2 linked regions of the Bombyx mori genome follow. The main gene of each other region encodes a partner of the protein of the gene in region 2 in a complex. Links are inferred from orthologs where the notes say so. Each region holds a gene or a part of one and is shown on either strand. Other genes may lie near its edges.

Evidence for each region. Proteins that work in one complex are often made in the same cells at the same time.
Region 1: vacuolar protein sorting-associated protein 54 (region 2) and vacuolar protein sorting-associated protein 52 homolog share a complex: the UniProt entries of both Homo sapiens proteins name them as parts of the golgi-associated retrograde protein (GARP) complex. The link is inferred for Bombyx mori from reciprocal best matches to the Homo sapiens genes VPS54 and VPS52.

The regions. Positions count from the first base shown.
Region 1 is NC_085110.1:11,267,454-11,275,036, forward strand, and holds the start of vacuolar protein sorting-associated protein 52 homolog, read left to right. Parts: upstream 1-3,051; 5' UTR 3,052-3,228; coding exon 3,229-3,474; intron 3,475-4,044; coding exon 4,045-4,190; intron 4,191-4,268; coding exon 4,269-4,836; intron 4,837-5,032; coding exon 5,033-5,188; intron 5,189-5,283; coding exon 5,284-5,402; intron 5,403-7,188; coding exon 7,189-7,312; intron 7,313-7,583. UniProt on the Homo sapiens protein: Acts as a component of the GARP complex that is involved in retrograde transport from early and late endosomes to the trans-Golgi network (TGN).
Region 2 is NC_085118.1:10,579,682-10,587,264, forward strand, and holds vacuolar protein sorting-associated protein 54, read right to left. Parts: upstream 5,456-7,583; 5' UTR 5,297-5,455; coding exon 5,202-5,296; intron 4,922-5,201; coding exon 2,362-4,921; 3' UTR 1,992-2,361; downstream 1-1,991. UniProt on the Homo sapiens protein: Acts as a component of the GARP complex that is involved in retrograde transport from early and late endosomes to the trans-Golgi network (TGN).

The DNA of each region.
Region 1 (7,583 bases), on a different chromosome or scaffold from region 2:
TATAAAACGCTAATAATACATCCATGCAAGTTTTTTTCTTCTAAACTTTATAATTTGTGGCGGCTCGGAAAAGCTTAATCAATACCGTGGTCTACACCGCGATCTACCCAGTGCATATTGTGGGAACGCATAGCCCACTAAAATAAGTTTATGTACCTAATGATAATCTTGTATCTGGACCAATTTAAAAAAAATTCATGAAGCAGAATAGCAGTCTGTGTAATGTATATTAAACATATTTCTAAAAAGTTTGAATGAGAAAAGGACTGTTAGATTTAACAATGACAATTTAAAATTACCAACTACAATAATTCGAAATATTTCTGGAATACCTACTTAAATCGAGTCATCTTTATGAAAAAAATAATTGCACTTATGCTACAGTTCTATAAATATTACTAAGTACATTATTTACATGAAACGAGACGAATTTGTATGCGTGTGTGAATGGGACTCTACGTTTCTATATTTATTAGATTTAAACATAATAACTATCGTTTGTACTTGAAATATTTATATTTACTATTTACATGCATTTTTCACGTAGATAGATAAAATAAATTTTCATTAGTAACGTCTGCAATGCACAGCGTGTGCATAAAGTTAAGACAAGTTTAAAACATAGTTAGCAATTGACCTGTACATCTGTGATCCTTTCCTGCTAGTAAGTTTAAGCATAAACATTAAACATAGTTCAAAAATTTGCTGTAATTAATAGATACAAATCGATATCAAAAATTTGATACCATCTTGACTTGGCTAGCTGCCGGTTGACGTCCAATTTATTCTATGAGACTGTTCTTCGTATTGATTATTGATATTGTTGTTATGATGCATTGATGTTAAAATTAACGAAGTGATAGAAAATAATACAAATTTATTAGGTGTAAAACACGAGTGAATATTGATAATTTTGTACGATTCATACGTAACGTATTAAGATAGGTACAGTAACAGAATGCTGAACTTTTACTCATAAGCCATTTACTACTTAAATAATAATTAATTTTTAGACTATTATGTGTAACATCATACGTTATTTCTACAAAGTTTGTTAAACTTTACAGTGCCCTATTGTAATAATAATTCTTGTACACCATTTAACAGGGCTAAGTGCCTACTTCAGTTATTGGTTGTGCTATTTCTAATGCCTCGTACACTTACTATATGTATATTTATATTTTTAATGTACCTACTTGTTAGAAAATATGATGGTCTTAAATCGTAAAAATTCTACTACGATCATTGTCGTTGAACTATTTCATATTTATACTTTTTTACAAATTTGAAATTTAATTATAGTGTACTTTAATTAAACCTCTCCTCTTTACTCTTCTTCGATCCTTTCATAATGTAAATACAAATACAGTAAGGACATGGATATAGTAGCGACGTCGTTTCTTTTATTCCTATTTTTCCCCGGGTTTATATCTGTCAACTACTATGTCTATGCATGCAATACGTTTGAGTAACTGCGGCCTATCTAAGGTCAACCTACTTTAAGAATGGTAAACCTTGAACATCAGTTAGACAGTTAGGAAAATAAACTGCTACTAACTGAAACTACTACTACTAGAAATGTCAAATTAGGAAGTACGTCACGGTATTTTTTACTTGATGCCGAGATCCTGTCCGTTTGATAGTCGTAAATTGCAGTTAAACTTTCTTAAATATTAATATAAAACATAATTTATCAGTTAAATAGATCAACGAGAATATGTACTAAATATGTTCATATGTATGTGTACATAGGCATTCATTTATTCTATCTACAAGTCCTTTAATACAATTACAATATGCATAATTAATACAATGGCATTTCTTGACATTTCAATATAATTTTACTCTATTCTTAGTTGTGCTTTTGTTAAAGTTATACATTTTCTTTGTAAATATTTCTTGAGAATAATATCATTGATGCTTATGCATCCATTAAATTTGTGTGTTTATTTTTCATCCCTTGAATTTAATAAAAAACGTACTTTTCTAGAATATTTGAAGTCATCGTAGCTTAAAGGATAAGACTTCCGGTGCATTCGTGTTGAGCGATGCACCGATGGTCGAATCCCGCAGGCGGGTACCAATTTTTCTAATAAAATACGTACTTAACAAATGTTCACGATTGATTTCCATGGTGAAGGAAAAACATCGTGTAATAAAAATCAAACCCGCAAAATTATAATTTGCATAGTTATTGGTGGTAGGACCCCTTGTGAGTCCGCAATAGTAGGTTAGTACCACCACCCTGCCTATTTCTGCCGTGAAGCAGTAATGCGTTTCGAATTGATGGGTGGGACAGCCGTTGTAATTTTACTGAAACCTTAGAACTCATATCTCAAGGTGGATGGTGTCATTTACGGTGTAGATGTCTATGGGCTCCGGTAACCATTTATCACCAGGTGGGCTGTGAGCTTGTCCACCCATATAAATAATAAAAAAAAATCGAGTGTTTGTAGGTTTTGACAGTAAGGCCACAATCCTCACCCACACTTACTTAATTACTTTTTAAATTGACACATACCAAAACCATGTAACAAACTTTTAAAACTTAATTTCCCCACGCTACATAGAAAACCCACTACTGCCTTCAACACCCACAACCCACAACTCCAGGAGCCAACCAGTACTTGGAAGACTTCATACAGTTTCTTAGGGAAATAAAATCATATATTTTCTTGTGGGACGCCTATACATATTTTATATACATAATGAAGCAAAATGAGATGAAGTTAATTAATTTGAGACTGTAATCAATTCGGATGAAATTAAATGAGATGAGATGAGATAGAATAAAGTCTCAATAAAATGGTAGTTATTTAATATGAGATCAGAAACTGGAACAACCCGAGAAGCCACATTCAACACAAAACGAGGTTAATAAACTACCTTTATTACACGTTTAAATCTGAAGAAACCCTAAAATTAGGAAACAAAACCAACAAAACAAAAATTCATACAATTTCGCTCTTCGTGTTCGCGCCAAAGAGTCTGAGATTTTAATATTTTTTTTATTTGGCTGTATGGGCTTTGAACTCTTTGTCCATCCAGAAAGAAAAACGAAAAAAACGTCATAAGTAGTGTCACTGTTTCAGTGCTTTAAATTGTTTAAAACAACAAAAAAAATTAAATACAAAACCTAAAAATTCAAGTAAAATGTATGTGAATAGTTGAAAACGCACACAGTCAAGTATAAATGTTGATTTCCCGTCATTCCACTAGAGTTTAATCATGTCTGATAACAACAACATGAACTTAGACAAAAATCTTGAGGATTTCGAAATCCAAGAGGTTCTCCGTAATGGTACAGATTTGCGAGAATATGCTCTTCAAATCGACAAAGGAATCATCGAAGCTGAAAAAGCATCTGTTGCGGATTATTTGAGAGAAAGTGAGAATATTGGCTCCCTTCATAATCAAATCGAAGAATGTGACAATATTTTAGGGAAAATGGAGAGTATGCTACTGGTGTTTCAGGTAAATTTATCTCTATTTACCGCATAAAACAGATTTACAACACTATTATAGTTTTCAGCCCTTTGGTACCCACTGCTGGGCATAGGCCTCTCCTTTCACACAATAAAGATAGAAAAATACATCTCCTTGGAAAATAAAATAAATACAAAGCATGTTAGGGAATGCTAGGAAATAAAATATTTATAATAATGTGACTATAGAATACCTATTACCTTTATAGAAAAAAGTCTCAAATAAATGTTAATTTTTTAGTTTTTAGTGCTTGTTTAAAAGGCTTAGGAGTTCGACAGACAGAGAAACTATTATCAATAAGATCTAGTGAACTGAAATACCTCTGACAGTTAACTGAGAACTTTAATTTTAATTTCTAATTGAGTTGAGAGAGTTTGAGTTAATCTTGATACTATATCATACCTAAAGATTTCAGTACTGTGGAATTCCCTGGAATGTAAACATGAACTACAAACAGGTCCTACTTGCCAATAAACTGAAAATTTTGATGTTGAGAATAGCTCTATTGAAAAATGTTGTGCCTATTGTATTCTTTAATGATAACTTTTCTTGTAACAGAATGATTTAGGAAGCATCAGCAATGAAATTATAAGTTTACAAAAGCGTTCAGTGAATATGTCAGTACAGTTATCTAATAGACAAGTGCTTAAGGGACCTTTATCTGCATTCATAGAAGACATGGCAGTGTCGGAAACTGTTATATTGTAAGTGATTGCCTGGATTCATTTATCCACTTTTATGGATTTTAATTGTACTCTATTATATTTACTATTACATTCCAGTGGTATCAACAATGTTCCAGTTACCGACAAAGAATTCATGGTGCAGTTGGCAATTTTAAACCAAAAATTAAATTTTGTAAAGGAACAAGATTTCAAAGAAACTAAAGCTTGTCATGATGTCAAAGACGTTTTGGAAAAATTAAAGATAAAAGCAGTGTCAAAGATAAGAACATATATTTTAGAACAAATATATAAATTCAGAAAACCAATGGCAAATTATCAAATACCACAAAATGCCATGCTGAAATACAAATTTTTCTTTGAATTTGTATTGACCAATGAACGAAATGTGGCTCAAGAAATTTGCAATGAATATATTGATACATTGAGCAAAGTTTATTATTCATACTTCAAGTCATATGCATCAAGACTAGATAAATTGAAATATGAAGAAGCACCCAACAAAGATGACTTAATGGGAATTGAGGATGGATCTAAAGGAGGATTCTTCCAGAAATCTAATTTAAAAAATAAAAGTACAATATTCACTATAGGGAATAGAGGTGATGTTCTGGCCCAACAACTAGAAGCACCCATTATTGTACCACATGTTCAGCAAAAAACAAAGGTACAAAATACAATATTACAAATTTCATTTGGTTTCTCGTTTATAGAATCAAGTGATTAAAATCTTTTCATTCCTAAATAAAATATGAAATTAACAACTTTAAAATATTTATTGCTTGCTGTATGCATATCATTTTTTTAATGACACTATATTCATGTTTTGATCCACTTCTTGATAATAAATAAATTATTTTCAGTATTCATATGAAGCCTTATTTAGAAGTCTTCAATATGCCTTGGTAGACAATGGTTGCAGAGAATATCTGTTTACCACTGAATTCTTCCATGTCAAAGGAAACCATGCACAAGAGCTCTTTGATAGAATCCTCGGTAAAACATTGTCCGTGCTTGTAGTGAGTAAACCATTAAAATTATGTACATAAATATTTATTTCTGGAAATTGAATAGTCTGAATTGAATTGAATCATCTTAATTTTTTATTTTACAGAAAAATGTGGAAAACTATGTAGTTGAATGTTATGATTGTTTGGCACTATTTCTTTGTATCCAATTAATAAACAGATATAAGTTAATGTGCCATAAAAGAGCAGTTGCGGCTCTGGACAGGTGAGAATTCATATTAAGAAATGTATCGACACTGACAAACCTTCATTTAGAAGGGTAAGAGCTAATATGGCAAAGAGTAAATAAATATAGGGTTAATCAGCCCTGAGGCGACACTTGTATGTCATGTTCGACCCACCATAAACCCACTCAGTCCTCAAGTCTCATCTTGACTTTAGTGTTTGGTTGAAACTTACTTCTGCTTAACATAACAGTTCTATGTTTGAGTTTGTAGTTTTCCTTATCTTAAACCCAATGCTGATGAGGCCCGTCTCTCCGAATTACATAAGCCATAGAATACTATATACATTGTGAATACCAGACAAGAACTGGCTTTTGATATTGAATGCATATCAATATACTAGTTTTTGCCCGCGACTCCGTCCGCGTGGAATAGTTACTTTGGAATAACGCTAAATTTTACTCCCCACTTCATTTATGTAGAAAGTAACAATATTTTGGAATTGTAGAATGTTAAGAAGCTATTGAAACCCTTATTTTGAAACATTTTTTATTGGTGCTCCACTTGTATTGATCTTACCGTGATGTTATATAACCTTCCTTGATAAATGGGCTATCTAACACTGAAAGAATTTTTTTAATCCAACTGGTAGTTTCTGAGATTAGCGCGTTCAAACAAACAAACTCTTCAGCTTTATAATATTAGTATACAAGTAGATTGTGCCAGTGCTGTTCATTTTGAGGGCTGTAACCATGAGATGATGAAACTGAGAAATCACTCATCATAACTGAATGCATATATTTTTAATATCTATGCTGCCCATTGAAGAGTTCCTTATTCAGAAACCAACCCTCAGCGCAGCAACACCATGTAACGATAAAATCTAAAATACACACATAATAAATGCGTACAACAAAATCTCATATCTATGCTGTGTACCTTTGAAGAGTTGCTTTACCTAAAGCTCATTTTTATGGTCATTGCTTACCATAAAAATACTCTCATCACTGAAATTGAACCAAGAAGTAAAAGTTCAACTCCGTATGATAAGTAGAGGTTTAATTTGCTACATTTGACCCAAACACGCAGATAAATGTATATACAGTAAAAGGTCCTTATTCACAGAATATATGTTTTGTAAGTTTTTTTTCCTACCTATGCTGATAGCCTTGAGAGGCTATTTCAGCTTCTCCTTGACGTGTAGGTGAGCTCACGGGGCTCAAACCGGGAGTGTTGCTAACACTGGCCCTAACAAGAGCAGTACTTCGCACAATTTACCACCGGATCGGAAATGCGACTCACTGAGAAGTTCCGGCGAGAAACTCAGTGGGCTATGTCTATGGGTTAATTTACTTCGTCGAGCCTTTCGTCGCGAGGACTGGTGCTTGAGGTACCTAAAAGCACCGCTAATGTATCCGGAGGATCCGTAATGAAGTGTGTTTAGGGCGACGTCGACTGTTTACCATCCGGTCCACTGGATCGGGTATTTCCGTAAATATGCTGCGAATACAGAAACCTTGAATAAGGAAAAGTACGTTTACAAAGGATATATATCACGCACACCGTGACACGAGAATTTTATAATATATTAGATCTTATATAGAATCTTGAATAATCAAAAAATTTAACAAAGCCCTGAAAAACATCTTAACTATTTACAAGGACTTGTTCCTAAAGTTTTCATTGATCAAATAAATTAATTATTAAATAAATAGTCTATTAAATAAAAACTATGAAACAGAATGATATGCTGTAAATCTCAACACCACAATTTTTATGTCAGTTTAAACGCTAAACTAATTAATATTCGTACGTATGTTGTTGCAGTTACTGGGAATCATTATACAACACTTTGTGGCCTCGGCTACAATATGTATTAAAACTGAACATTCAAAGCGTACGGGACTGCGACCCTTCTAAACTGTCAAACAAGGAAATGGGACCGCATTATGTAAATATTTACAATTTAAATTTCATTAGTATAAATTATTTTGCTTTAGATCTGGATTTATTGCCTACAATATAATTGGGTTTAATTGTATTAATACACCTCTAATTATTTTCTCTGCATTGCCTACGGTTGACTGGTAGAGAATGCCTTAGGCTTTTAGTCCGCGAATGTGTACAAATACATAGTGTAATAAATACAAAAAATATTATTATAAATTTGCTATGTTTCAAACTTAGTATCTTAAAATTGTGTAATCATTCCAGAAATATTC
Region 2 (7,583 bases):
CGCTAAGGGAAGATATTTGTATGATAAATATAAATGTCTTTCCAGGGTTATGGGTGTATATTAAATATATGTGTGTATAATAAAAATATTATATTTATTTCCGTTATCTGGTACTTGTAACACAAGTTCTTTACGAACTTAGCACGGGACCAGTTAACGTGGCGTGATTGTAAACAAAAAAAATAATCTTAAATGAAATAATATTTTGCATAGACCGACTTCATTTCTGTAAATATTAATAAATTCCTCTAAATTTTCTCGAACTCCATGTCTCTCACTCGTCATTTTAGTGCGCTTAAACCGACCGCAGTACGTGCGCACAAGCAGGCGGTCACTATAGTACTGTAACTTTGAACGCCGGCATGCCACACACGTTCAAGTAAACTTGCGCAAACAGGAATTTGCACAAGTTCGAAATCGAAAATTGAAACTTTTTTAAACATGTACAAGTCTAGAAATTTGCGCAATATTTTTCCAACACACGTTACTGCATACTTGTACAAGTCTAAACTTGCACAAGTATATCGTTACGTGTATGGCTACCATAAAGATTGGATGCGGAAGGCGGAGGACCGTTCATTGTGGCGGACTATGGGAGAGGCCTACATCCAGCAGTGGAGAGATACAGGCTGATGATAATGATGGTCTTAAAGTGGATGGCAGCATTCACGTTGTGATGTACATTATTACGGTCTCTGGAACCACTCAAACTTTGACGAGCCATGAGCTTGTTAGGTGCATCCCAGTAGTACTCCATACCTGTATATAGTTCTATAGAACTGTTGGGATATGCCACCATGCTTTCAAATTTTATCCTAATAGTTCTATATGGTACTGTAGTATGGTTTTTGCTATTGACTGATAGCATTCAGTTAAAAACTTTATATTTTTTTAATTGATATTTTATTTTTATTATACATCCGAGATTTGATTGATCTCGGTAATCATTTGTTTAAAACCGAAGATCCGACTTCAATCACAGCATTGACAATTTCTTTGTAAACCGAAGGAACAGTATTTTTTTCCAAATTTTTGTTATCGTTTACTTCCCTAGTAACAATTGCAGAAACTAAAAGTTCGATAACGTTTGATGTACCTACAATTCGCAGTTTCAGTTTATCCTTTTCCTTAAATTGAACAAAGTTTATATAGAATCCGATTAATATTAAAAATCCTAAAGTTTGATGCGGTTGTTGGTTGTGTTAAAGTTTTTCGCTAAAACGTATTTGAAAAAGAAATTTGGCATATATGTTAATTTAGACACACTTAGGTGGGTACCCTATAAATTATCGCTCTATCGGAACGCTTTTGTAGACAGGTTGAAAAGGAACTAAGGGCAAAAAGATTGATAAACGAAATATATGGGATATAAAAAAAGATCGTTATGCTTACTCTCCATAGTAGAAAGGGCCATTGATTTAAAACTCTCTGGAAAGGACACCATCTCAATGTACCTATTCAAAAGTGTCCGCTGTAAGGGAGCAAATTTAAGTAGCGCCATAAACTACCACACTACTTCAATCATATAATTTCCAATTTCCACACCAACGGCGGATCCAGGGGGGGGCGGTCATGGGGGTCATGACCCCCCCCCTGAGCTAGTTCCAGGACTTGAACTAACTTGGACTAATTGAAGAACGTCATGATTTATTTATTATCTATTGTTACCAAAATTAAATTATAAGTTCTTAACTTGCCCACGACTATGTGACCCCCTCCTGGCGCCAAAGGTGGATCCGCCCTTGTTCCATACTAGCACTATTTCGGTCAGTCTACCAACAATAATTTTGATGTTTACAGGTGGGCACTTTTTAAACCTGTTTCCTGTACAAGATGGTATTCCTTACCTCTACCCTCCATAGTTAAGCTATACCAATAGCCGTCGTGTGTTGAAAGCAAAAATCTCAGAAAATCTTTACTTGGATTCGTTTAGGATTGTCAGCTATTTTATCCTTTTTTTGTTTAAATATACTCGAAAAAACACATCTGAATTAAAATAAATATTTATATTAAAACTTAAAACACTTGAAATAAATACATGTTAGATTAATAATTTAAACTTTAGATTAAATACCTATCAATCGCATCTCCATGTTCAGATTGGTTATCTATAGTACATAATATGATCGCCTCTAAAGATTCTAATAAAAAATGACAATAGCTTAATCATCGATTTTTTCAAAACCGATAATTTTTATTTATTTTGCTAACTAGTTCTGAAATAAAAATACCTTTTTGGTTTGTTTCTACAATTGCATTTGAGAACAATATTTCATCATCATAAAGTATTTTAAGTAGAAGTGATGACTTAATGTAATATTTATAAATAGATAGTTTTCTTTACATAAAATATTGGAAAAGTTAATTTAACCAAACGTCATATAGTATATTGTCTTCTGCATCATTATCGTTTATAACTCTGAGTGTCTTTAGAGTTTGTAAGTAAAATGTCAATTCAGAAGTCACTACACCATGTTGGGGGCTTCCATTAGCAACTATATTCATTTTAATTAGTTGTTCTCTTAATTTATCTTTAAAATTATCATGTACTCGTTTGTATATAAACTTTATTTGTTCAGGTGGCAAAATATCAATTAATGCTTCATGTAACTTCACTAAATGTTTTGAAATATTGCGGAATGTTTGAGAAGGAACTGGGGGCTTTGCATCCCACCCTGTTAATTGAGAACATAACATATTACTTACAATTAAGCAAATCTTATTTTCTATTTCCTGTTTATGGCTAGCAATATCACTCTCAATAGCAACAAAACCGCTCAATGATACCTCAGAAGAATGTATTTTCTCTAACAGCTGTTTTATCATAGGTAAAAACCATAATATAACCTGTAAAGATCGAGATACTAGAGCTAAATTGGATGTAGAAATAGTTTTAAGTCCAGCACTTTGTATTGCCCCTGCACCGAGAACAAGTTGGCAGCACCGAGAATTAAACAATCTTAATAATTCTAACATACAATGAACTAAATACTGAACTATAATGGGAGATTGTCTGGTTGCATCACAGTATTCCAATAAAATTTTTATAAGTAGTTGAACTGTCCCTACCAGAGCATAGCTTTCTTTGTTTATAAAAAGATATTTTCCGTCTGGTTTCCCACTTTCATACAGTAAATTAGGAGGTATTTCTTGAATTTCACATATTTTTGTGATTGCACTTTGCAATTCATATGGAACATCTGCAGTTTTCCATCGTTCAGCATTTAGAGAAGCTGTTAATTGAGATCTGCGTTCAGTGTGAAGTGTCTGTATATACTTCATAGCAAAGCTCCTTAGAGCCAAATTCATGGCATTACTACAATATCCGGTTACATCCTCACATTTGGTGCAAAATTCTTTAATCAAATTTGATAGGAGAGATAACTGTGACATATCAGAACACACATAATCTTTGTCTGTTTTAGTTACAATTAGGTTAGCACATCTTTCATTGCAGTAATCTGACAATGAAACAATCATTTTTTTCAATTTGTCTTCAATAGATGTCAATTCTTCAGCTGACCAAATCTCTTCATTATCACTCCCATTAACATCTTCCATTTGACTTACATCTATAATCAAATTTGTTAATGATAGTATTCTTTTAAATAACATAACTAAGTTTGGAGTCACTTTTTGCAAAAATAAAATGCCTTCGTTGCACAATAGCCACATGTTATCTGCATTTGATCCTCTTAAAACAATTTCAAAACAACCATCTCGCTGTGAAATAATTTCAATTACTGATTGTTTTATTGTAGCTTGAATAGATGTCATAGCTTCCATTTTAAATGTGTCTAGAAAATCAAATTCTTTGAGACGAAGAATGCCAGAAACAATTGATATAATTTTATCTTTTTCAGGAATGTCACTTTCATCTATTAGTGGTCTATTTAAGTCACATACAATGAATTTTAGGAATTCATTACTTAACATTTTATGAATTAACCTTTTCATTTCAGTTAATTGTGGAGATAAGTGTCTAAATGCCTGTATGCCTGTAAGTCGAGTTGACAATACTTTTTGTGTAGAGCCTATTAAATCCAATGCAGCAACATAGTCCGATGTACTGAGTAATAGCTGAATCATAGGTTGAGTCTGTTGTACTGTTGACATTAGCTTAAGAATTTCATGAACATGACCAAGATTACAATTTATCCTAGTTAAGCTTTTTAATTTCAATGGACATTCAGTCAGATTCTTTTTAACTTGGTTAATATGTTTTCTTGTTTTCTGAACAGTATTGACAGCTTTTGCCATCTGTTCCATTATTGTATCATGTGAAAGCATAGCATGAAAAAATGCATCTGATCTTTGTGCTACTTGCTTTGAAATATTCATTTCTATTACATCCAGATAAGTGCTCAATGTTTCTTGCAGAGATCTTATAGCTACATCATTATCTACAGAACTACAAAGGTTTGGAAAAACTTTACTGAAAACCACTGGATCATTTAATGGCAAACCTGGTTCATAGAATATATCTGGTATTTCACAATCATTTTCTATGATTGCAGTTTTATTTTTAACTGGCAAATTTTCTTTTAGTCTTAAATGTCTTCGGTACCTCTTAGCAATTTTTTTACAATAAGATTCAAAATGTGTCAATGTTACATCTGGTAAATAAGGACTAGGAAGTATATCAATTTTATCCACAAAGCTGTCACCCCATGTTTTCGTGAAGAAATTGCTCTGCTTACCTCTATTCGGATCATTCAGTACTGCAGGGAGATTTTGTGAAGAAGAATAGAATGTCCAAGACTCATTAGGTGTCCTGGTATATGTATGATATTCTCGGATGTGGTACTTAAAACCAGCTTTCCGTAAATCTCCAAATTGTAATGCAGAGCACATCCCATTTTGTCCATATTGACAAAGGATTATGGTTCCCTCTTTTATGGAGTGCTTATCTAGTATATGTCTGTAAAATAAATATTAGCATATAAGTATTGGGCTTACAAAACATTTAGGAATATCTATAGAAGGGTATATCGCTAGCCATTTCAAACAGCAACTTTTGTGAACATCCATATCATTCATCTGTATTAGCCATATATACTTAATGTATTTGCTTTTACGTTCAGCGAGCGCCGAGTCATTAACTAAATACCAAATCATAGAGCATAGCTATAGGTGCCGACGTCGCTTAATTGAATAAGATGAAGATCACTTAATTTATAAAATAAGTCTTAATTTTAAACCTTTCAAATTCTGCTGCTGTGCTGAAAACAAGGCTGGGGCAGTGTGAACAGTTTTGCCATGCTGGATTCGTGCTTGATGATGAATTTTCCTCCATAACATTTTTAGTATAGATTGATTTCTGTATGTATAAGTACACTTTTCTTTATGAATTTCGAATATTGACTCTAAGAAAACTTGAACTTAGGCAAAAAAATAGCTACATTTTTTTTAAAAACTGATGACATGACATCTCGTTTGATAAATGTTAAAGTGACATTGACATTTGAATTGTTGTCCCGTTTTTTGTTTTTGGAGGCAAAGAAAATATAGCCCATACGTTTAAAATCTCTAAAAGGAACATTTGAAGCCTAACATCAAAAGTGAAAGGGAACCGCATTTGGAAGGCTACCTGGAAAATATCACTTTAAGCGGAAAGGAAGCATATTGCAACATTTTTGTTAATTGTCAAAAACCTTAACCATCGAATGACCGTTCCGATATCGAGTCGAGGGAACGCGCTCTCGCCCCCGTCACGTAACAGCCGGAGTCCCGCAAGGCTCCGCCCTCTTCCGTTATTGTTCAATTTGTATATCAATGATGTACCCCGGTCTCCGGAGACCCATTTGGCGCTCTTCGCCGATGACACGGCTATCTACTACTTGTGTAGGAAGAAGTCGTTATTGCATCGGCGACTACAGACAGCAGCTACCACCTTGGGACAGTGGTTCCGGAAGTGGAGCATCGACATCAACCCCACGAAAAGCACAGTGGTGCTCTTCAGAAGGGGTCGCCCTCCGAATACCACATTGAGCATCCCGCTCCCGACCAGACGCGTCAACACCTCCGCCTCTGCCATTCGGCCAATCATGATGTACGACCATTACCGAATCCTGATCATGCAGGATCTAGTCACCGTCGACGCCCTAGACACGTCCTTGCGGATCCATCAGATCCAATAACCTTTGCATTAGACGCCTTCAGCTCTAACACTAGGAGCAGGCTTAGGGACCCCGGTAACCGCACTCGTCGAACTCGACAAGGAGGTCGACGGGCAACCTAACCCATGCATCAGCCCGCTGTCTTTCTCGCCGGATCTTCTCAGCGGGTCACGGTTCCGATCCGGTAGTAGATTCATTCGCGAAGCTGCTGCCCTAGAGTTGTTAGGTCTCCTTTGGAGGCGCTTGGGCAGCTGTTAGCAAATCCCACCCCTCCTGGCTGAGCCTTTGCTCGCCCCCCTGGTGAAACTGGAAAGGCCTCCGGGCTACCAGTAATCTCTCAATCATAAAAAAATGTACGACTAACTCATACCGTGGGCCCCGAAGGTCAAATACTTAGGCGTCACCCTCGACAGATGGATGACAGTCCGCCCCCACTTAAAGACGGTATTCGACCGTGCCACCTTCATACTAGGACGCCTCTACCCGATGATTTGCAGGCGAAGTAAATTGTTCCTTATAAATAAGGTGACACTCTACAAAACTTGCATACGCCCCGTCGTGACCTATGCAAGTGTAGTGTTCGCTCACGCGGCCCGCACTAACTTAAAATCACTCCAAATTATTCAATCCCGTTTTTGCAGCATAGCCGTCGGAACCCCATGGTTCGTCAGGAACATCGACCTCCATGACGACTTGGACTTAGAGTCCATCAGTAAGTATCTACAGTCGACATCGATGCGCCACTTCGACAAAGCGGCACAACACGACAACCCTCTCATCGTGGCCGCTGGTAACTACATTCCCGATCCTGCGGACAGAATGGAAAGCAGTCAACGAAACACGTCATTTCGGATCCTCCCGATCCACTAACGGTCCTTTTAGGTACCTCAAGCACCGGCCATCGTTCTCGTCGATCCCGTCATTTGCGACGAAGGGCTCGACGAGTAAATTAACCCACAGACACAGCCCACTGAGTTTCTCGCCGGATCTTCTCACTGGGTCGCGTTTCCGAATCGGTGGTAGATTCTGCAAAGCACGGCTCTTGCTAGGGTTCGTGTTAGCAACATAGTCAGGTTTGAGCCTCTTAGGAAAAAAAATCGAAAGACTTTATTTAGCCTTTACTTTGAATGGTGTCCAATAAAAGATTTCTTTTGAAATGAGATTTCGGAATGAAATGAGAAGGTGACAAAGGAAAACGAGATGAACTAAGTGAACTTTAGGTATTGTATGAGATGAAATGAAATAACTCTTGATTAAAATAGTGGTAATTTACAGAAAGTTTAATTACTCTTCAAAAGAAGTGAAGTTTTTTATTTTGTTTTTTTTATTATTGTTAAATTGGTGGACGAGCTCACAACCCACTTGGTATTAAGTCGTTACTGGAGCACCTAGAAACCATCGACGAAAATGCCGTCACTCACTTTGAGACATTAGTTCGAAGTCTCGGCTGCCCCACCCTTCAAA